Linked DNA regions of Oreochromis niloticus. The protein of the gene in region 2 interacts with the protein of the main gene of each other region in a pairwise test. Links are inferred from orthologs where the notes say so. Each region holds a gene or a part of one and is shown on either strand. Other genes may lie near its edges.

Region 1 (8,153 bases), on a different chromosome or scaffold from region 2:
TGGATTTCCCATAAGGCAGAGCATGCGTCCAGTTGGTGTGTGTGTGTGGGAGAGAGAGGAAGGGGGGTTCATGGGAAAACAAATGTGATGAATCAATGTGGATAATTATTTGTGCAGGGGAGGAAACATATGGTTGAACCCTCAGAGGATCAGAATAGCAAAATCAATGCTAAAATTTTCTCTTTGGTACAAAGGGTTAACAGAGGCAGTTATACAAAAGGAAACAATTTAATGAAACTATTTCAGAGTGTACACTTTGAGCTCCCAAGTTTGCTTTGAACTGCTATCAAGTGCTGCGTCACATCCCCAGAGGCGCTATGAAATTGAGTTGCTTACAAAGCACCTTGCACAGCATTGTTTCACCATAATCAAGAAAAGGGTTAGAGTGAGTCTCGTGATTCTGCTTTGACTCCGCTGTTGAGCAAAGCACAAACAAGTCACAATCGTCTGCACTTCCTCATCGCTTCTGATAGAACAGAGTTTTTTTTCTTAATCAAATAGGAAAAATATTATGATCAGCAAGAGAAGACACAGCAACTGCGCTCTTAGCGGTTTCATGTTTGGGGAGGCTCATTTCCTGCCTCTGGGTTTGCAGGACTCCAAATAAGCACAAGCTAAAAAAAACCCAAAACATGACATTTTGTCTATACTTTGCCTCTTTATAACATTTATTAACCCCCCCACCCCCACCCCCACCCCTTACTCCTCCTCCTCCCACACAGACACACACAAATAGAAAGTCCAGAAGCACCAAAAAAATCTTTGCAGAGCTTCAGACAAAACAGAATGAACCCTGAGGCAGAAGCAAAGAGAAAACAAACAGAATCCAGTCCAGTCATCAGTGATTACCCTCAAGGTAATGACGGATGGGAAGGGTATGATGGGTAGGGCACTGCCAGACAAGTCCCTCTCAACACATGCACACACACACACACACACACACACACACACACACACACACACACACACACACACACACACACACACACACACACATGACCTGTCAAGAGCATTAAGCATAGATACAAAATAAGAGTTGATTTTGCTCTCACAGCATAAAAAACCCCACAGTCTCTGTCGCATGTGTTTTTACAGAGAGAGATCACATAAATAAATAAAACACATCATTTTCATCATATTTAATAACATCTGAAAGGCAAAGCACTCTAATTATAGAGCATTACATGATAAAACTTGTTTCACTTTAAACAAATAGGATACAATCAATAAAAATGTTGCTGTTTGCAGTAAAATTCACATTTTTTTCCTTTGGAATGTCAAAAATGGGAAGAAAACAAAAAAACATTTCCTCTTCCCCCACCGAAAAGTCAGATCAGACTTCTGCCAAAAAAAAAAAAGCAAATATGTGTAGCTCTTCCTGTTTTCTAACCTTCTCTCACCCTGTTAAGAACAAGGCTTATTATTGCACTGACACTGGCTGTTGTAACTCAGCACCATGTGACTGATGATTTCTTATAACACCTTTTCACTTTGTTGTCTTTCACACATGCACTTGGCAGCGTTGGGGGGTATTTTCAGGTCGTGGTTGCGGGTGCAGGGACTTACCATGTTGTCATGAATGTCTGACCATGAAAAAGCTGATCACTCTAACAAGAAGGCCATGCTCCTCCTCAGAATTTCTCAAGCTCAGGGCGGGGTAGTGTGTGCGCGTATGTGTGTGTGTGTGTGCTCAAGCGTACACGCCATCGAGAAGGCGGGGACAACAAAAGCAGGATGTGATACAGCAGGACTCCACTTCCTCATAGGCTCTGTTCAAACCAGCGCAGTGCAGAGAGCGCCACCTCTCGGCGCTCGGCTGTCACAGCAGCTGCGTGCTGGTAAAATTCCACTCCCAGTGATAAGAAAGTGCACAAGTGCAAGCAGGCCGCACTGAAATGACTTGATAAGATGCAAGGTGTCTTGTGACTCTTGTGATGGAAATCACTCGTGTTTGTTTGAGGGTTCAAAATTCAGCAGGTTTAATGTATTTAACCACAGAAAGAGGAGTTTTACATGTGTTCACTGATGGCTCAGCCGGACCCCACCCATCTCAATCCACACCTCGGTGGGGGTCAACACTCAGGACCCTTCTACATGTGTGAAAGGTTGGAGTTTTAGTTCACAAAATCCACTTAACAAAAGAAAGCTCGCTTACAGAACCTCAAATATCCCTCACAGCACATTTCCTCACACGCTCAAAGAAAACTCCTCAAGCCAGAGAAGAAAAGTTAAACATTAACGCTGCTAAAAGCCTCCTGGAAGCTTTAACTTCCATTTGGGGTTTTAAAAGCAGCTCTTTGAACTTGAGAACCAGAAGCTATTATGCGAAGAGACACCGAATCAATTTTCCCTTGAGGCCTCCACTGCTATCGGCCCCAGCTGCATGAATCTTGAAAGCACATTTTAATGTAAGATCAGGAGGGTGATGTCACACCAGCAGTTGCATAATGGCGCCCTGTTCATGTAATTACATTTCATCTGGGCTTTTGTGTATGAATAATAACATATATGATTTGGCAGGACTATTAAACGTGCTTCAGTGAATAAAAAGCTCATTTTGATATAAAGGCAGCTCGTGGTTTCTGTTTATCTTTAATTTATGAATGCAATTCACAGTCAAAGGAGTCTTGGAAGGCTTTACAACTTCTGCCACTGCAGCTATCGCCAAATTTGTTGAAACCAGCACCTCAGATGTGAAAATAATACTTACAGAAAAATACATATATTCTCGAGTAACTTATAAGGGGCTGTACAAAAATATTTGTCCTTATAATTAAGATTTTGAAAATGTAGAGGGTTTCGTGCTTTGTTTCTTGTGTAAAGGAACTCCTTTTGACATCATTTATTTTTATGCTTACCTTTAGCCTTATGTTGCAAGATAAGTCGCTATAATCTACTCTACAATATCCCCCACACCATTACACCACCGACTGGTTGTACAAGCCTGCAGGATCCATGCTTTTATGTTATTTACTCCAAATGTGTACTACTATCTGAATGTTGCATTAGAAATTGAGACAAACCAGTCAATGTTTTTTCAATCTTCTAATGTCCAATTTTGGTGAGCTCTTGTAAATTGTAGCCTCAGCGACCCTGGGTGTGGTCTTCTGTTACTTCAAGGTTTGATGTGTTGTGCATTCAGATGCCTTGCTGATGGCTGAGGTCAGAAAGACCAGACTGCTTTGACCTGATCGAAAGGCAACAGTAACTAAAATAACCACCCATTACAAGCAAGGTTGTGATGACAACCAAGGTTGTAATGAGCATCTCTGAATGTAAAGGTAAAAAAAAAGGCTACAACAGCAGTAGACCACACCCGGCGCCACTCCTGCCAGCTAAGAACAGAAAACTGAGGCTAAGATTTTCACAAGTTCACCAAACATTTCTGCTCCAGCATTTAGAATTTAGCATAAACAACATCCAGCCTCAGTTCAGGCTGCTGGTGTTGGTGTAACGGTGTAGGGAATGTTTTCTTGGCATGCCTTTCGACCCTTGAGTACCAACTGAGCCTTATTTAAACACCACAGTCTACTTGAGTGTTGTTGCTGACCATGTTCATGCTGTCATGACCACAGTGTACCATCTTCTGCTGGCTGCTTCCAGCAGGATGAAACACTGTGTCACAAATATCCTTCACAGTCATGAGATCCCAGCGCGATGCAGCACCAATGAGATGTGGTGGAACAGAAGATTCACATCATGGAGCCATGTGCAGCCAACAAATGGATGATGCTATCATGTCGATATGGATCAAAAACTCTAAGGAATGTTTCCAGCAGCTTGTTGAATCTATGCAACACAGAACTGAGGCTGTTCTGAAGCCAAGAGGGTCCAAACCAGTACTAGCAATACAGTTGGTGAGTTTACATTTGGTCTTCTTTGCTCACCATAGAAATGGAAAGCACTAACTCCTTTTCGTTATATTATTTTAGTAGTTAGTATGAGTGTGTTCGGGTGAGTCAGTGCTGCATGTTTGGAAACAAAAAATGATGATGAATGTGCCGTGCTGTTGGGAAAAAGGGAATAAAGCAACAAAATAGGCAAACACAGACTAAATCAGCCTCCTTCATCACTTCAGCAATTTCCGTACAGTCCATAAAGCCCTAAAGGTATTATTGAATTGTTTTGTCAATGCTCCCATTCAGACAACATCCAATTAATACATAATCAACCTTTCAGCCATGCAATTAAGCCTGCATTTTTCTCTCATTCACGTCACCGTCGATGGTGTGATTACATCAAACCATGTTCCAGGCTTCCACGAAATACTAACAACTACCTGCGAACTGGTGCGTCCGCTGGAACTTTTCTGGTCTTAGCTCCACAACCACGAATTATCCTAAACACTCATTCATCTTCTTCCATCAAAACATGTAATTGCAGCACAGCTGAAAGACTTGCCTCATCTTGTCACGAGATCAGTTCCACTGAATTCCTGTCTGGAGGTCATTTGGCTGCTTGGATGCGAGGATTACACGTTTCTGCACGCTGAACCAAATATCTTTCATCTCGATCTCAGGAGCTGAAAAGAAGGAACATAAGGCTATAATAATAGCCATTAATGCAACACACATTTGAAATCGAACACTTTGTCTGGACGACACCCTCAGCTCCTCGTGTGGTTTAGCACAGGTTCATCCACATTTGTTATTGTGGGAAAAACAGGAAAGAGGCGTTAAAATAGACAGAAGTTTGGCCGTGGGAGTAACCTGGAAAATCCAAAAGCACACACCTAAATCCTCACATAAAGCACTAATCCCACAGTACATTTTAGATAAAGCACAGACTGACAGCACAGCTGGAAAGCTCTGCTGGGATACTTTCAGATTAAACAGGCCGCAGTGTACTGATTCGGGGATTCATGGTGACACTTTCATTGCAAAGAGGTTTCATTTGTAATGTTGCATTAATCCCTGTTTTTAGGGGAAAAAAGATTGCATACATACATATATATAGTTCCATTTTAAGAAAGTGATGGGAAACTACCTGCACTACCCTCATGCACACATTGACTTTGTGAGGCTACAGCTCCATCTAGAGGTGAATGCTGGCATTTTTCTCCCGTGGAGACACATTCAACATGGCTGCTCCCATGTAGACGTTTGCTAGGCTCACTGTTAGCAGGAAGAAACTGCAAACCATGAAGGAACTCAGGTAAACATGTGCAAAAGTCTATTTTAATGTGTTGCTAAGTGGTACATACTGCTGTGCTTTCAGGAGAGCAGTGCTTCATTTTGCAGTGAGGGGCAAACATCACCACATTAAGAAAAAAAACATTCATTGTTTCATCTTTACTTTTGTGTCTTTGCAGCCACAATGGATCCAAAGGAGATGCTCCGCTGTGCTCTTCAGATAGAGAAATTCAGTGCAGACAGAAGCTATGGGAACATCATGACCCTCCTTGGTGACCTCCAGAAGTCTCACGTCACAGCGGAACAGCTGGAAACAACTGACATCGTCAAAGTGCTCTACAGGCTCCTGAAAACCTGCACTGATGACAGCGTGAAGAAGACAGTCAAGAGCTTGCTGTCCGAGTGGAAGAGACAGTACACGAAGGACAGGCAAGGGGTGAAGTGCACAGAGGAGAGCGAGGATCCTGAGCTCCCTGCCAGTGTTTCTTCACCAAAAGAAGCCGTGGGTGGTGCGGTTTCTGCCCAAACATGTGATGGTGGAGAGGGGAATGCTGCAGGAGAACCATCATCTATGCAGGCTAAACCTGGACCCAAAGCTCATACTTCTGCTGCATCTCCAGATAACGTGAGAACCAAATGTGTGCAGCTCCTCCTTGCTGCCCTCTGCCCCTCTGCCCCCGATCAGGACAAGGCTGCTGAGTTGGCCCGAGACATCGAGCGGCACGTCCACGAACTTCATAATCACAACCAGGTCAAATATAAAGCCTGTGTGAGGAGCAAGGTGGCCAACTTGAGGAATCCCAAAAGCGGCCACCTGCATCAGGGCCTCCTGAGTGGCTCCCTGTCCCCCGAGGCCTTCGCCCGCATGTCTGCGGAGGATATGGCCAGCGCAGAGCTGCGGCAGCTGAGGGAGGAGTACTCCTCCCAGGGCGTGAGTGAGAGGCAGCTTCCTCAAGGGATAGAGGGGACGCGGACGGAGAAGATTCGATGCAAAAGATGCGGGGGGTCAGACTGTAGGGTGACGCAGGTGTCCAGAGGGGTTCTGTTCTTGCCTGCGTGGGTGAGGCAGGGCGGCCCAGATGAGGATGCAATGACCTTTGTGACCTGCAGCGGGTGTGGCCAGCAGTGGTACCACAGCAGCTGGGTCTGCCTCTGAATCCACATGGATAACATACATGACTAAGAAAGCTAAGAGCAGGTTAACTGATAATGAAAATAACAGATTTTTAACCATTTTGCACAAGAATCATGCTGTGTAGAACTTTCATTAATGATTTACTTTCTTATTTTTTGACATCTGTGGAGTTAAAAATGTTCAGAAATCTGGAACATGACCTTCTTGGATTCCTAGCTCAGATACTCAGTGTTGCTAGTTTTGAAATAATACATTTTGAAGGCTTTTCTTTACACATTTACATAATAAATTGACTTAAACTGCCATTGTTGCAGATGAATTTCCAGCCATTTAGTTGATTGGTTGTTTCAGCTGTTCTGCCCACTGTAAAATTGCACTTGTTTGAGTTGGTTTTCCAAGTTTCACCCCTAGTTCACAATTTGGTATTATAAAGGCTTTCCTGTGACCAGTTAAATGTTTTGAGTGTTATAAACTCAGCTCTGAAACAGGAGGATTGGTCACATGGGATGCAGAGTGGAAACTTTCCTGCAGGATGAAGTGCATACTTGTGGTTTAAACCAGATTTTTTCCCATAGGATTTGTGCTTTGTCTTTCATGCATTGACCACTAAAACCCACAGCTGAAAGCCTAAACTGTATCTTTACCGGCTGAAATGCCAAGTCATTGCAGTCTCCGACTGAAACCATGGATTTTCAAGAAGTAGCTGTCGTCATCTTCTTCCCGCTGAATCATTTCCTGTGTCTCCACTCTCTGTAATAGCCCTTCATTTTATTTCTACTTACAGTAGCTCATTTAACTGCTTTTACTGGCCGCTCTCTCTTACATTACTGATCTAAAGATCCATTAATGCCTTGACCACTGGCTTCGCTAATGTTTAATTTTATAAGTTTTATGAAAAAAATGCATTATTTTGCACTTATTGTCAGTATTTCTGAGTATTAACACGGTGGGGGAATTCTTTAAAACATGCCTCTGCTCTACAATATCCCATTCATTTGTAGCAAACTGAATCCAGCAGATGAGACATGTGACCCCTGAAGAACTCCGAGCATGTGAGCCAGTAATCTGCCCTCCCTAGCAGCCGGAGGGGCGGATATCCCATGGTGCTCCAGCCAGCGTGGCACAATGACTCACATACACGTCACTGTGATGTCACATGAAGCAGTCTTTTTTTGTGTGTGAAGATATTACAGAGAAAATGACTTATTTTTATCCTCAGCTGTTCTTCCTGCGTCATTATTTATGTCACGTCCTGGCCTATTGCATCTTTTCTGATTTTTGCAGCAGGCCGAAGGTAAAATGGCCAAATATGAAAAAAACCCCCATATCTTTCTATCGTGTTTGGTATCTCGACGCTGGTGCATTTGTCTGTATTCCATCCCCTCTCACGTGCTCCTTATCTTTTAAGTAGATAAGGAGCATTTTAGTGACGTGCCCTGTCAGATTGATGCTCTGCAGCCACATACAGCTGTGGTGAGAAGTTTACATCCACTCATCAAGGGCATAACTGTGATGCTAGTTTTGGGCTTTTAATGATTTCTTTGAGCTGTTCTGTTTTCAGGGTGGAATGATTGTACGGAATTACTCTAAAGAACAATCATTTTAATATTTTAATAGGTGGTGCTGTAGGTTCTACAATGTCTTAACAAAGCTAAGGCCTATTAACTCCTCATTAGGGATTATGATTGGGTACAGAAGGGAGTTTATCTTTACAGCATAAAAAGGATTTGTTTGACAGCACTCATTGGACTGACTCAGAATACTCAGAACAATTGGAAAATTCAAGGAACTCACTGAAGAGAACTGTAGATTTACATAAGTTGGAGTGGCAGCTGTTGGCGAGATAGTTAGGACTGCTGTCTTGTAGCAAGAAGGTCTTGGGTTTG
Region 2 (8,259 bases):
GAAATTGAAATATCTTTGCGGGTTAACACACATACATACACAATTACATATCACTCACTCACACATACATACAAGCGCGCATACATTCACACACATTACCACCACAATATATAAATAAATAAAGTCGAGTAATAACGTTCTCTTGATCTGTGGCCAAGAGCGGAGTCGGAGAAAATCTTTTTCAAATGGTGTTTTCAGAAGCGCGGAGGGAGGAGCGTGAATGTCTGACACTGCGTGTTGCCTGAGCATGTCTCAGTCTGGTTCCCTCAGAGAAAGAGAGAACATTCACAGCAAAAGATACTCCCAGTATGACAGAAACACAGAAAATTAACCAAAGCCGAATGTGTGACTGTGCTGATATATTCAAACGACAGCTTGTGGATCGTGTAGATTCAGTGAAAAAGAAAAAAAAAATCACAGGTTGGGCAATTTAGCCACTCTGAGTGTGTGGTCCATGAATGAGAGCATGTATACGAGGTGTTTGAGAAGTGTTAAATGAACAAATGTGCATGCCAGCTTTTTTTTTCTGTGTGCGTGAGTGAATGTATGCACGCACGCACATCCATAATGAGTGTGCGATCATTACAAAGCAATTCCTTCAGACAGAAATCCCTTAAACAGCCTTGGTTTTGGTCTTCATGCTATCCCCCTTCTGTCTCCTCTCTCCTCAACAGCCACCAACCACTGCTGCTGCCAAAAATAACACAGGAGCGCCACTCGAACCCGCGCCTCACCACAGCACAGCCTGGCCGCAAGAGAAGGATCAAAACACACACAAAAAAGGAAACACATCATATTGTGGAAGGAGGGAAAAAGAGCAGCTCGGGGCTTCAAGATATCTACTGATGATTTTGGCAAGCAAAGAACCACACATACTAATGCACCAGGCCAAGGCAGGGAAAAGGAAAGTGTGTTTGTGGATGTGCGCATACAATTTGGATGAAGTATACTGTAACTGCTAAGAGATGGCATTCATCGCTGATCTCATTCAGTCAAGGATTTAACCACAAGCTCAATAAAAACGCTTACATTATCACATTATAGGTCAATAAATTGGAGCCTTCAGCTGATAAATAAAGTCTCAGAGAATAAGACAAATTAACACTGTAAGTATGAGTAATGAGGAGGAGGGGTGCACTCCGGTCACAGATACTCAGGTCAGTGATAAATCACGCTGCTCGGATTGTAGGTTTAGGAGTTCAAATGGGAGGCAGCTCTACTCATTGTCATGGCCAGTTCACTTTGTGTTGCGTTTGGCAAAGCGGGCTTATCCACACTGACACGCTGATGCCAGTGGACGAAGTTTTCAGAGCTCTGGTTCGACAGTGGCCAGCAGGGCTTTGCAAGCACACCATCATGGGATTAATTGTTGATCCCCGGAATTAAAGATAATTCATGGAAAGGTGGAAAATGCTAATAAAATAAAACATTTTACGAAAGCGCTGCTACATAATTTGGAAAGGAGACTCTGACGTTGTGGGTTCAGATGATTTCTGGGGTCTGCACGGTTCCTTTGGCTATTTATGAAGACACATCTTTCCAAACCAAGCAGGGAAAAAGATCCCAAATTAATAGAGCTGCCTGACTGTAATATCATTGTAAAAACATTTACTTGGGTAAATTATTTTTCATTGTAATCTTTTAAAATAAATTAAAAGTGCTGAAAATGTTTCTTTTGAAAGTTTATAACCTTTTTTATTCCATGGAGAGGTTTAACTCTGAATGTTTTCAGAATAAACACTTTGGGGCATATCTGATTTCAAAAACTTATTTTCAGCTTTAGGGTGGTCAGTCCACTACACGAAAGGAATTTCTCGTGTTGCCACGTTGGTCTGTAGTGGATATGACAGGTGCTGGACATCCCAGGGACCCGACAGGGAGGGCTGTCAGCGGGGGAAATCTATAGCTAACTGTCGCCCTCTTCTGGTTACATTTAGGAACGCCAAATCATACACAGTTCAGCTACCTCATGCAAAACATATAAAACTGTAGAAATGACTGTAAAAAATAAACTATAAGGCGATTTTTTATTTACAGGCTAAAACAAATACCTTAAAAGTTAAGTAACAAATGTAATTCAACGTGATGCAGGACTTCTCTGTTTTCTTACCAATCTGTTTTTAAATCCTCAGTGGCCTGCTGCACTTTTAAGACTTCACTACCGTGAAAGCGATCATTTACCAAAAAATGTGGACCATGTTCACAGTTTGGAGATGATGGCGCTGACAAAAGACAGCAGGCAGAGCTGAAGATGCTGAGATTTGAGCTGGAGATGAAGCTGCCAAGCAGGGGGAAAGATGAAGCCCACTGAGAAGATTCATAGATGCAGCGAGAAAGGACATGTAGTAGGGTGGTGTGACAGAAGACGATGGCTGTGTCCCAATTCAGGGTCTGCACGCTTGAAGTACGCGTTTCAAGTGCGATTACGTCACCGCCACGCGACGACGGCTGTCCCAATTCAAAGTGTACTTCAAATGCATACTCCAAATGCGCCGTCGATTTCCCCAAATATCAAGCGTGGTCCGGTGCACGCTTCCTGGCCCCATATATCCCACAATCCATAGCGCGGCGGTGGGTGTGGATAATTTTGCCGCAAAATACGGCAGAAGGGAGCGGCCGAAGAGTGAACTGTCAAAAGTAAGTACTGAATATGATGTCACTTATTTATGTGCGAATGTTTAAGAACATTAAAACATTACTGTTGGCCACATGTCGGGAAAGTTATGTGACATTAGTGATGTTTGTACTTTCAGCGTAAACTTGGTTTTAAAGCCTCTACTTCTAAATATATATATAGTTGACCTTAATCTTACAGAGAATGTGATGATTTTATGGATAATTAAAGTCAGTCATATATCCACAAACACAACAAGCTGAAAGTCAGTGATGCTGCTCGGTTTGCAGTCCTGAATATGACGGCACAAGCAGGATTCACTGCACTGTTAATGTTAGCTATGTTATATTGCTGCCTCTGTTCGGTGGTGTCGAGCCAAACGGACTTTAACGTGTGTTTGAACGAGCTGACGGTTCACTCGTTAAGCTGAAAGAAAGATGCTTTAATCACAGGAGTCACACATGTGTCCACTGGACCATCTGGGAACTCTTCTTGTTTAGCACTCGTAATAACACAAACACTAAATCCTCCTTCTCTTGTGCTGTTTTGTAGCAGTGTGTACACCTGAGACTGTCACCTGTCTGTCTGTCCTGCACTCTCTCTCTCTGTTTCTTTCTCTCTGATTGTGGAATAAAAGTATGAACATGTATTTATAAGTTACACTTGTGTTTGAATCCTGCAGCTTATCACACATTTGATTTCCATGTGTGACAACTGCAAGTGTCCAGAGTGAGGACAGACTGAGGGACCCACTGCTGCACATCATCTGTGAGGCTTTGCACCCCTGATGATCCACCAGGACAAACTCAGCAGTGTGTGAGGAAGAGGAGGAGGAAGAGCCAGCAGCAGCTGACAGATGGAGAGAATAGACAGACTGTTCCCTGTTTGTGAAGGACTGCTAGGAAAGTTTAACATAACTAATTGTCTGTCCTGAATCAGTCTTATTAGGTAATGTTCAAATAATGTTATCATTCCAGTGTTTTCAGTGTGAGAGAAAGTACTCAGAGCCTTCAAGTTACACAGTATGAAAGGCAGCAACAAGTTTAATATTCAGAAACCTAAAGTATGTATCAGCAGCAGAACGGAGCTAAAAATAAATGTTTGTTTCAGTTCTATGAAGCTTTGAGTATTTTGGATCAGTAGTGCTGCTGTGTTTGTTGCATCATATTGCTGTAATTGTTTATATGCTTTATATATTCTGAGGTAAGTTGATCCATAGTGTTACATCATATTCTATAAGGATGTTATGTGTTTGTAGACTTTCTGCCCAGTTTGACCCATTTAGCAGAAGTCAGCCTGTTTAAGGCTCTGATATCTATTCTGTATGAGTTAACGCAGTTATGACACGGTCTGATTTTCTCACCCAATAAAGGAATATTTCATATATCAGTCTGATCTTCATTCTATCAGAAACGGTTATCACAGCTCGTACATTTGCTTTTTACACATATATATATATAAGCATTGAGCCAAATTTAGTAATGCCAACATATTGAAAGAACAATGTTTGTCTCTTATATATAATACATCTGTATATACACTGTCAGAGATACTTGTCTTTGAGTGAAGATTTAAGGTGATAGGAAATATAAATAACTGCTACTTGCATCTTTGACCCAGAGTTCAAGATCATATATATATATATATATATATATATATATATATATATATATATATATATACAATACATATAATATTGTCCATATTATATTAACATCACCACAGTGAGATGACTTTAGTCTCATGAATAACATTAGCTAATTATTATTTACTAACTAATCTTGAAATGACTGTTCAGTACAGAAATGAAGCCCAACTATCATGTTTTACAGTCCTGTGGGCTCAACTAATCAAAGTGATGTCATGACAAAAATGAATGAACAACAAAACATTTTTTCTCCTTCATTTCTGTCACACAAAGCTGTATGAAACATTTCTCGCGGTTAGTATCATGGTTGCTAGGCAACCTGAACAGCACGACGAAGGCTAGATCGTCCCATTTCACAAGCCTCTCACTTCCGCACTTCCCGTACTTGTAGTACGCACCGTACGTAGTACGCGTAGTGCGCGTACTTCAAGCGTGCATACCCTGAATTGGGACACAGCCGATGCTACAGCAGATGGTTTGTTTGGCGCCCCCTACAGGGAACAGCCGAAAGAAGAATGTCTGACTTTTTGACCTCTCTGATGTGCATAAATACCTGGATTGACGCCTGTTGTATACTTCTGTCTGTACCATCCATAGAAAGAGATGTTTCGTGAAATCTCAGCGTTGAACGTGCTAAAAAAAAACAGAGGTTTCGCAGTGAGCCGCTGACGTCATATCCTCGCGCCAGAGGATTCCGCTGTTGTAGTCTGTCGGGGCGGCAGTGACGGGGGGGCTTCGCTTTATGCCGTCGCCTCATCATCTGTAAGGGGAAACAATAAACAGCGTCTGATGAAAGCAAGTGTCTGTTTTGGTGGGGGGGAACTGCCATCCGAAACCGACCGGCTCTGTCTGCGTGAAATAGGGAATGAACGACGAGACAGCATCGGACAGCTGGAAGAGAAACTCCGGGTGCTCCAGGTAAAGCTAAGCTAACAGCTCCCCCGGTCAGTCCACCACACTCCTCCTCCAGTAACAAACAAGATGAGAAGGCTGGCTTTTAGTAGCGTTTCAGAAACAGAGCTGTAAACACGAACTGCTAGCATTTTTTTTTTCCTGACAGCTGCACGTTGCAAAACTGTGACGCCAGAATGACGGCATCGGGTCGTCTGCAGACTTTGGTGACATCCATGCTCTTTTACTCCGTTTCCACACTGTATTCAGACTCTTCGATAATAAAGTAGCTACACTCACACTGAAAACTTTGTAAGCTTCCCCTTTCCGATAGAAAAGTGACTATTAATCTATAATTAGATCAGTGATGGCTGTATTGATCTACAGCACGTGCATTAAACACGAAATTCAGATCTCCACTAAAGAAAGTTTTTTTGTTGTTGTTGTTGTTGTTTTTTGTCTAAGTCTATCCATGTCTGAGGACCTGAGCTCCATAGAGCTTATCTAGTAGTAACACTGAAGGATACCCTTCATTATTAAAGCACATGTTTTACCTCTCATCCGAGAAGCTACGTCAGTTCTATGACCAAATGCTGGAAAGTCCCAGATTGTAAGCAACTGTTGATCATGTGGCTCATCACATGGGCCAAGGTGTGAAAAAGGGTGTGGGTCATTATCAGCAGAGGTTTCTTGTGAACCCATTGTGAGACCTTGCTTCACCCTATCATGTGAGTTACATGGGAAACTACACTATAGGTGGCAGAGAGTTCAAAGATGATGCTTCACAGTGGACATAGATGGCTTCGTTCACTCCTCTTTCAAACCGTCTGTCTTCTTTTGTCCAAAATGTGAATATTGACATCCTTGAAAGACTGACCTTTGACCTTTAGATGCAGACGTGCAGCCGAGTCTTGTCCTGTCGAGGTGGCTCTTCTGTGTTGTGCCATTTATGAAGTGGCTGTTTGGTTTCTCCAGTGAGAATGAAGCACAACTTTACACAGATGTTTTATGACCATTTTTGCAGCCATTTATTTTTATACAGATCAGACTTTGAAAACATTGCATTTTTCTTCTTTTTACTTAGTTTTTTATTCTACTCTTCTGTCTACATTATTTGACATTTTTGTCAACTTTCAGGTGAATTAAAGTCTCATTTAATTGGTGAATATAAGCATGGATATATGTAACTGTAATTGTTTCTGTAACTCTAATATGTCCAAGTTCTGTTTGAACCTGTGTTTTGTTTTACTTTTGAAGACAGAGAATTCAAAATATATAGAAAAAGTATCAAAAACATAGTTCCCCGTAATATTTAGTGAGATTTTTACTCTCCTAATAGTTTTTGTTTTAATTTTTGAGTGAATAAAAACTAAAATAAATATAGGTATGAAAATGAAAATAAATAATAGATAACAAAGTAAAACTATGAAGTTACACACAATATACTAAACCCTATATACAATTATTTTTCTTGTTTGTATGAAAAGGTGTTTCTGAAGAGTTTGTCTCATGCGAGGTTTTTCTCTTATGTAGTATTGAGCAAATGCTGGCTGTGAATCCCGGAAAGACGCCCATCAGTCTGCTGCAGGAGTATGGAACGCGGATAGGCAAGACCCCAGTGTATGACCTGCTGAAGGCCGAGGGACAGGCCCACCAGCCCAACTTCACGTTCCGCGTCTCCGTCGGAGAGATCAGCTGCACCGGCCAGGGGCCCAGCAAGAAGGCAGCCAAGCACAAAGCAGCTGAGGCTGCTCTGAAGATGCTAAAGGGAGGCCTCGGAGGTCCTGCCGGAGTTGGTATTGGAGTAGACGGGTTTATTGGGGTTGATGTGTCTACTGATGCAGATGGGTCAGTTTTTCTGTTTAATTTTTTTAAACATCCAATAAGCAGGCCAGCCTGAATGTTAAGAAGAGCATTTCAACACTTAACAAAAGTAAGATAGAGGTTTGTGTGGTTTCATTGTTACCTTTTTGTTTTTTTCTCAACATCTGTGTAGTGCCCAGTCAGAGATGAAGACCACAGGCACTTCACAGCAGTCTGAATGCAACCCTGTAGGGGCTCTGCAGGTAAATAAACGCAGACAGCTACCAAGGTTTCATTTTGCTGTCATTATTTCTGCGGCTTATAAATTTTCCAACTTTTGGTTTCTTTTTTACTTTGTTCTGCCAGGAGCTGGTGGTGCAGAAAGGATGGCGTTTGCCAGAGTACACAGTCACTCAAGAGTCTGGTCCAGCACATCGCAAAGAGTTCACCATGACCTGCAGAGTGGAGAGATTTGTAGAAATCGGTACGTGGCTTTGTTTCAATCTCTCAGCCTGCGTGCGCGTGTGTGTGTACCATGTTTACATATCTTTGTGGGGACAAAATGCCTGATCCACGAGTTTGCGGGCATTTTTGAGACTCAAAATGTGGTTTTAGTGTCAGGGTTACAGTTTGGTTAGTTGGGGTTAGGCATTCATTTTTAATGGTTAAGGTAAGCTGCTAGGAAAAGCATGATGTCAATTAGATGTCCCCACAAAGACATGAAAAACACAATTTTGTGTGTGGGTGGTGTGTGTTCACTAATTAAATATTTTTGATAGAAAACAGCTTAATAAAACTGAGCAAAATCATATATCTATTGTTACGCCTTTCACACTGGTCAACCAGTTTGTGACTTTCCTTGACTTACTCTCTTAAAGCATGAAAAACTTCAGAGATATCAAGCACATCCTTTGGTTTCTGATGCAATCTCCTCTTCCTCACCAGGAAGCGGTACATCTAAGAAGCTAGCCAAGAGAAACGCAGCAGCTAAGATGTTGTCACGCATACATGATGTCCCCGTAGATATGAGGACCAGCAATGATGCTGATGCAGAAGATGATACATTTACTATGGTGGGAATCAAACACTGCTACACTAACTGACAAATGTTTATTAAGCATCATTAGAGGAATTAGAGTTTACTTCACTTCTACGTAGTAACAAAATATTTTTTTAAATTTTATTTTTCTGTTTTTTCTGAAGCATTATTAATTTAGCATAATCTCTGATTCATATGCCCTGTTGTTACTCTTCTATCTCTGGGTTATGGCACATAATGACATTGTCCATTAATTCCTGCATG
Region 3 (7,525 bases), on a different chromosome or scaffold from region 2:
GGATAAACTATTTAAACTGTGTTAAATTCATCTGAATAATTTCATCATCATTTTTGAAAACCTGACAGCCCCGGCTGGCTGATGTGAGCAGGTTTTATATAAACTGAAGAGCAGGCAGATATGACTGGAACATTCACTGATGGTCTTAAAATACACAAACCTCCCACTGAAAAAGTGCAAGACACACTGGGAGAGCCAACTGCTCAAGATCAAAGATATCTCTAAAAGTACTTTGTTTCAGATTTATAGTTGGCGAGGTAATAGTGACTCATAAAAAGTTTTCTCGGTGCTGGTTTGAGTTCTCTACTTTTTACTCACGCTGTCAGACGTTAAGGGCTTCAGCTTTTTGAGTGCTGGCTCTTTTTCATTTTGGATGGAAAGATAGCGCCGCACTTTGTTGGCATGCTTCTTGCTCTGAAAGGACAAGCACAAAGGTTTATTCCACAGTGGACACAAACATTCACTGCACATTTCTAACACGTTTATGTCTCCAAACTTTAGCATATCAATATTTCAGGTAAAATATAACTGTATTTAATATAACCTTTTCAGTGTTGCATTTATGGATCGACATCAATCTACTACTGCTAATTTACTACACAATAAATGCCAAATACTGCAACTACACGTTTTTAGATGTAAGTATTTCCTATTTTTCTTTGGTTTGATTCTTTGCAAAGAGAGCCAGCAATCACAAATGAATGTATAAATCAAACAATGTCCAATCATTTTACTTAAACTAGACATTAGTATTTGAAAAGCTGTTTACTTTTGCAGATTTGTCAAAATTTAGAATAACTTAGAATTGTCTCCTCTTCATCATCCACTTTGCAGCAGGGGAAAAAACAGAAGTGCATCACAGCAAACATCTGGTCAGCACTGTAGCCAAAGGTCCACTTACTCTCAGCTAGTTGAACAGCCCTTCAGCCCTCTTTTGCTATATTTGTGATTTACTGGACAGCCTAATGATGATGTGCTATTACAGCTTTAATAAACTTTTAATGTAGTGCCAAGTCCATTCAATAATAACACCTTATAAGTGATAAGTGTGCACTTTTTCTCTCATTGCTGAAAACTGTAGCACCATCTAATGAAAGCTAAGTCCCCTGACACCAACACAGCAGCACGCAGCAGACCGTGGGCTCACTGACCTGATAATGAGTCAACTTCTGAGATTCAGAAATTAGGACAGCACTGCAGACTTTACACTGGGAGTCAGAAAACAGGTCGCCATGCTCCTTTATCATCTTATTTACTGCAAAGGAGGGGAAAGGGAGAGAGAGAGAAACTTCAAATCAGGTTACATCATCTGGGAAAATGCAATTATAACACAACGTGAAGAGACTATTTGTGGCAGCAGTTCAAACAACATATCTGCTCGAGCTACTCCTTTTACTTACCAAGGATGTAAGAGCTCAAATGCACTATTCTGTTTTATTTAATAGTGTTATGAAAAATACAAACAGTTTTCTGGATTAACCATTATCTTGCCTATGGGTTTATGGCAATGCCTGTGCAAACATCTGTGAATAACATACTACAAGACACAGAAGCATGGTTTTTGGGGTTTTTTTAGGCCCAACTCTGCTTTTTAGTCTTAGTCATTCTTGGCTCATACCAAGCAGATCACTAATTCATCTTGATATCTCAAAAGTAAAATATATATGTATAAATAATTTTAAAAAAAACACACACACACACAAAACAGGTGGTGTATTATCCTGAGAGGCAGCCGAATTGGTTGGTTACAGCTCTGTAGGAGGATGGCATGGCATGTCACGTCGCCTTTACACATGTAGGAGCACAGTGTATTTTTAAGCATTTACAATCTGAATGTGTCACATTAGAGGATTCAGAATCCTGTTAAAGTCACAGCTTTTTGTTATTCAGACTTGGGCGTCTTGTTATGCAAACACTCCTCACAGCTTTGAAGATGACAGGACCTCAACAGAAGACGCTGCAATGCTCATGTGGAATTTGGAACCAAAATGGAAAAAGGATCAGAAGGGAAAAAAAACTGCAGTGAAAACACTGCATATGCAAAAAGTAAATGCTGTTTTAGCTGTTTACCAAAAGCTTTCTCATTTACAGGTCTTAAACTGCACAGTTTTTGTTGTTGTTGTTCGTTTGTTTTTTATTATCATTTCATAGCCAAACTGTGGGAAGGTTTTAGGAATTACAAAGCTCAGTCTTTTTCGAGGCACCAAAATTAAATGGACAATTGAATCTGTGGTTGGATCGCAGTCACAGTTGCCATTTAGGCTGCAAAAAGTGTGCAGTGGGAATATAAGTCGCCCAATCAACGATTTGATGTATTCCGAGAATGAAAGAACACACTGGAGAAAAAAATCTGCATGTCCACCAAAGACAACACACTGGATGGTCGTGGCATCCTTTCCAAAGTAGAGGGGGGGAAAAAAACAAACAAAACAGACTCTCCAAGACTAACATAAAGAGTATGTACACTAAAGTCTACACCCTGGATAATTATCTGGAAATACATCGAATCGAATATTGGCACGCATAAATTTAAAACAAAAACTTTTAGATAATTCATACACTTGTGGTTATGACACTGTCCTGAGCTGAAATCTCACATGTATCTTGCTTGCATTACTAAACACACAAGCAAGACCAGCAGAAGTGCAATCCGCATGGCCTGAAAGACGCATTTCAGCTGATGCCAAGCCAAAGATGCCTCCCTCTGTCTGTATTAGTAACCATTCAGGCCAAATGTTTCACAGTCACTGAAAAGCAACATCGGATGCAGACGTGCTCTAGTCGACCTTGGAACCGAAACGGCTACAGCTAGCATAGCACATTTTAGCAACTCGATGCGCTTATTACTGAAGTACCGGCTAACGTTAGCTTTGCGAAGGTAACAACAGCGCCGGTATTTTAAGCAATAACAGGGAGGGCCTTTACACAGTGCAACCGCGCCTTTTTCTTCTAAAACAAACGTTAAATTGTTAAATAAACAGGACATACTCTCTGCTGGTCCCGAAGGTAAGTAAGGAAAATCGTCGGTCTGCATCGCGACGGCCATAGATTCTACTCACAGCCAGCGGCGTCCGAACACGCATGCGCAACTCGCAGGCAGAGCAAAAGGACTTCCCACTGTGGGCTGTTCTCTAACAGGCAGGCAGCACAGACAGTTTTCAGTGCATTTGAGCCTGTTTCTTAGCTGTCACACTCAGTTTGGACTTGCGTATATCCGTAGTGGGATACCAATTGTAGAAATACCTTTTATTCACATCTCATGTCGGAATATTTCCCCGGTAGCATGCAGACCAGGCAGTCCTCTCCACAATGGAAAATGATTTGTTACAAACGACAAGCCACTCGATTTAATGTTTTTTTCAGGCCAAATCGTCCATATACACGTTGTCCTTCGTTGTGTGTTTGGATTTTTGTGGGTGACAAGTCCACTGGTTACGAAGCGAAGTTTCCGTAGTGTAGTGGTTATCACGTTCGCCTAACACGCGAAAGGTCCCCGGTTCGAAACCGGGCGGAAACATGTTTTTCGTTTTCTGTATTGTATCGTTTCTACGGAAGAGGATTAGGGCCCCAGGGGGAAAAAAGAGTGGGAATGTCTTTTTTTTCTTTTCCAGAATTCTGAGAAAAAAGTTAGAATTCTGACTTTAGTCTAAGAATTCCCACTTTAATCTCAGAGTTCTGACTTTTTCTCAGAAAAAAGTCGGAATTCTTCTCAGAATACTGAGAGAAAAAAGAGAAATTCTGAGAAGAATACTGAGAGAAAAAGTCAGAATCAAGACAGAATTCTGAGAAAAAAGTTCTGACTTCAGGATTCTGATTTTTTTCTCAGAATTCCGGAAAAGAAAAAAAAAGACGTGCCCACCTTTTTTTTTTCCGGTGGACCTAATCCTCTTCGGTAATGACTTATATGACTTGAATGACTTCCCGGTTCGAAATTGTAATTATAACATGTCTTTTAGACTGTATTTTCGCAACAGCAGGCCTGTAACTTTATAAAAGTGAGTATTTTTGCATGTCGCCAAATCGTGTGTGACAATATTAGATTGTGACATGTATATTGTGACATGTATATCATTGTAAAACAATATATTATTGGAAAATGAGAGAAGACTTATCGCACCGAGTTTCCGTAGTGTAGTGGTTATCACGTTCGCCTCACACGCGAAAGGTCCCCGGTTCGAAACCGGGCGGAAACATCATACCTTTTTCTTTATAATTATTCTTCACGTTATCAAGAAAACAGAATTACTAAACAGTCACCTGACGATTTATTAGGTACATTGTGCCTTCAGATCTCCCTTTGTTCTTCATGACATAGATCCAACAAGGTGCTGGAAACGCACCTTGCAGATATTTGGTCCACACTGGCCACACTGGTCCTAAATTGTTGCTAGGATGGATCCATGCTTTCCATCTGTGTCACAGCAGATACTGAGACACATCACAGTAAGCACAGTTCATATCATATCTTATTGTCTGATTTTCTCCAACATTCAAACATTCATAGGATTTGTTCTTAATGATCGCAGTCACACGTGTTTCTGCTGAATCTGAGTCAGTCACTAGGTGGGGACAAATAACTATTAACAAAAAACTCAACGGCGACGGAAGGAGAGTTGCTGTAGCATTATACTGGTTAATGGAAAATGCATTTAGAAGTTTCCGTTGTATAATTTCTGCAGCATCGTGCAACTTTGAGTTTTAGCATAATACAGCAGTGTAGTAAATTTGCGCAGTCCGTATGTGCCGACGAGATGAAGAATTAATGCAGCAGACAGGGTATGACAGGATTAGTAGATAATACTGGAAAATTACTTTAACTGTGGGCTTTTATTTTTATACTGACCTGTTCCATGGTGACCAACCGGCAGTTCAACAGGTTTCCGTAGTGTAGTGGTTATCACGTTCGCCTAACACGCGAAAGGTCCCCGGTTCGAAACCGGGCGGAAACATTATTTGCTTTCCCTGAGTTACACTTTTCATAAACATTACGTTATTAACTGAAGTAACAAGCCATATTTGTGGTCACCGAGTTAGGTGGGGTGCTTTTTCCTTCAGTAGAACAACGGAGCTTCAGGAGGTGCAGGGGTGTCAAACGGCCGCTGGCTGTGTCCAGATGTTGCAGAGAACACCACTCATGTAAGAGGGCCCTCGCCTGTGTGGTAACGACTGGGTTTTTCAACAGGACAGTTCTACAGTACACAGTGACTGCAGGACAAGGGACTTCTCTGAGAAAATAACATCACTCTTTTGGACCATCCTACGTGTTCCCCTGATCTAAAATCCAATTGAGAACCTTTGGGGATGGATGGCAAGGCACATTTACAAAACTGGACAACAGTTCCAGACAGTAGATGCCCCATCTTCACCACGAATTGTGTTCCCACTCACGTCATGGGAACGCAGATACTGAGGCGCATCACAGTTCGCAGTCACACGTGTTTCTGCTGAATCTGAGTAAGCCACTAGGTGGAGACAAATAACTATTAACTAAACACTCAACGGAGACCGAAGGAGAGTTGCTGTGGCAATATACTGGATAATGGAAATGCTTTGAAGTTTCTGTTTGGAAGTTTGGAAGTTTCTGCTGCATTGCATATTTTCTGCAGCATAGTGCAACTTTACGAGGATACACAGAGTTTTTATAGTGAGGTGATTGTCATGGCCACCTACTATGATATGCAGTGTATTAACAGAGCGATAACTAAGGCAAATGTGCGCAGACAGGGTATGACTATATAATAACAATATTAGACTGATAAAATCTCTTTAAATGTTATTCATTTTCTCAAGATAACCCGTTCTGAATGCTAAGCAAGTTTCCGTAGTGTAGTGGTTATCACGTTCGCCTAACACGCGAAAGGTCCCCGGTTCGAAACCGGGCGGAAACATATGGTTTTGGTTTACTTGAAAAAACTACAGTAAAGTTACTGTCTTCATAATTATTCCATGACGTGAAATGGTAAGTCTCCTAAGATGTCGTATCGTTATTAACCCCTTAAGATAAGTCTTTGAGTTTTCACAAGATTGTTAGACACCCAAGGTATCAATCTGGTAACTCTCCTAACAAAAACTTGTCTCAGGGGTTAGGGTGAAGTCGGGCCAGTTTCTTCCACCTCTCATTCTCTTCCTCTTTTCGATTTCCAAAGTCATCCTACAGACTGCCGTCCGATGCTGCCTACATACATTCTCCCCCATCTCTTTCACATTGCACCTTCTGCATAAGATATCCTCCTGTGTACACCTTCAATCACTCTTCTATGTCACCCTGTGTTCCTTCTTCTTCATAAAAGGGCATGTTCACCACAGTAATTTCCATCCTTTCTGCAAAATGCAACTGGCCCAGCTTGACCTCTCCACTGAAGGAAGAACGTTCACCCCTGCAGAGATCAAGACCTCAAGACCCTCACGGCCGCCCTACTCGACCCCCTGCAGTTTACATGCAGAGCCAACAGGTCTGTAGATGATGCTATCAACATGGCTCTACACTTCATCCTGCAGCATCTGGACCCCCCGGGGACCTATGCCAGGATCCTGTTTGTGCCTGTTTGTTTCAACACCATCCTTCCAGACCATCTCCAAGGCAAGCTTTCCCAGATGAATGTGCCTGATCCCATCTGCCGGTGGATCACTGACTTCCTGACAGACAGGAAGCAGCATGTGAGGCTGAGGAAGAATGTCTCGGACTTCCGGACCATCAGCACTGGCTCCCCCCAAGGCTGTGTTCTTTCTCCTCTGATCTTCTCCCTGTACACCAACTGCTGCACCTCCAACCACCAGTCTGTCAAGCTAATTAAGTTTACAGATGACACCACTGTTATCGGACTCATCTCGGACGGGGATGAGTGTCTCTACAGGAGGGAGATTGAACATCTGGTGTCCTGGTGCAGCCACAACAACCTGGTGCTGAACGCCCAGAAGACAGTGGAGATTACTGTGGACTTCAGGAAGCACACAGCCCCACTTCTCACCCTGGACACAGTCTATTTTAACTGCTCCCTTTAGACAGGAGGTTTCGGTTCATTCGGACCAGAACCTCTCGCCATAAGAACATTTTCTTCTCCTCTGCTGTTGGACTCATGAACAATAACCATATGACTGCTCCTACCACAAACACATGAACCTATACTGTGTTCTCTGCATCTGTTCCATTTTTGCACTGATCATTACCTGCGTACATGTATATATCAGTCTGCTTAGCACTTTTAATTTTTATTTTTATGTTTATTTATGTGTTTGTCTTACATTATGTTTTGCACTAAGTACTGCAGCAATTTGCTAATGTTGTAAACCTGCCCAACATTTGGCAAAAAAACCCTTTCTGAATATGATTCTGAGAGATTCAAAGGTAATAAATCAAAAGCCGAAAATTGCATTTCTGGTTGATAGAAAAAAATTATGTTTTCTTGTTTTTCTCTGATGCAAAACTCCGTTCTGCTTTTTTTAAAATGTATTTTTATTGGGAAATCTGACTTCCTCTTCCTCTCTAGATCTCTCTCTTCAAGAACAGGAGCCACAAGAAGATTAA

Evidence for each region.
Region 1: the proteins of tarbp2 (region 2) and tceanc interact in binary tests that used the Homo sapiens proteins (3 or more experiments, as listed by UniProt). The two-hybrid records come from large-scale screens. The link is inferred for Oreochromis niloticus from reciprocal best matches to the Homo sapiens genes TARBP2 and TCEANC.
Region 3: the proteins of tarbp2 (region 2) and znf346 interact in binary tests that used the Homo sapiens proteins (3 or more experiments, as listed by UniProt). The two-hybrid records come from large-scale screens. The link is inferred for Oreochromis niloticus from reciprocal best matches to the Homo sapiens genes TARBP2 and ZNF346.

What each region holds. Positions count from the first base shown.
Region 1 is NC_031986.2:14,111,270-14,119,422, reverse strand, and holds tceanc (transcription elongation factor A N-terminal and central domain-containing protein), read left to right. Parts: upstream 1-5,007; 5' UTR 5,008-5,154; intron 5,155-5,311; 5' UTR 5,312-5,316; coding exon 5,317-6,288; 3' UTR 6,289-8,052; downstream 8,053-8,153.
Region 2 is NC_031970.2:5,771,928-5,780,186, reverse strand, and holds the start of tarbp2 (RISC-loading complex subunit tarbp2), read left to right. Parts: upstream 1-4,964; 5' UTR 4,965-5,127; coding exon 5,128-5,180; intron 5,181-6,686; coding exon 6,687-7,001; intron 7,002-7,149; coding exon 7,150-7,219; intron 7,220-7,322; coding exon 7,323-7,440; intron 7,441-7,901; coding exon 7,902-8,029; intron 8,030-8,259. UniProt on the Homo sapiens protein: Required for formation of the RNA induced silencing complex (RISC). Component of the RISC loading complex (RLC), also known as the micro-RNA (miRNA) loading complex (miRLC), which is composed of DICER1, AGO2 and TARBP2.
Region 3 is NC_031975.2:23,624,671-23,632,195, reverse strand, and holds the start of znf346 (zinc finger protein 346), read right to left. Parts: upstream 3,147-7,525; 5' UTR 3,047-3,146; coding exon 2,989-3,046; intron 1,256-2,988; coding exon 1,152-1,255; intron 415-1,151; coding exon 319-414; intron 1-318.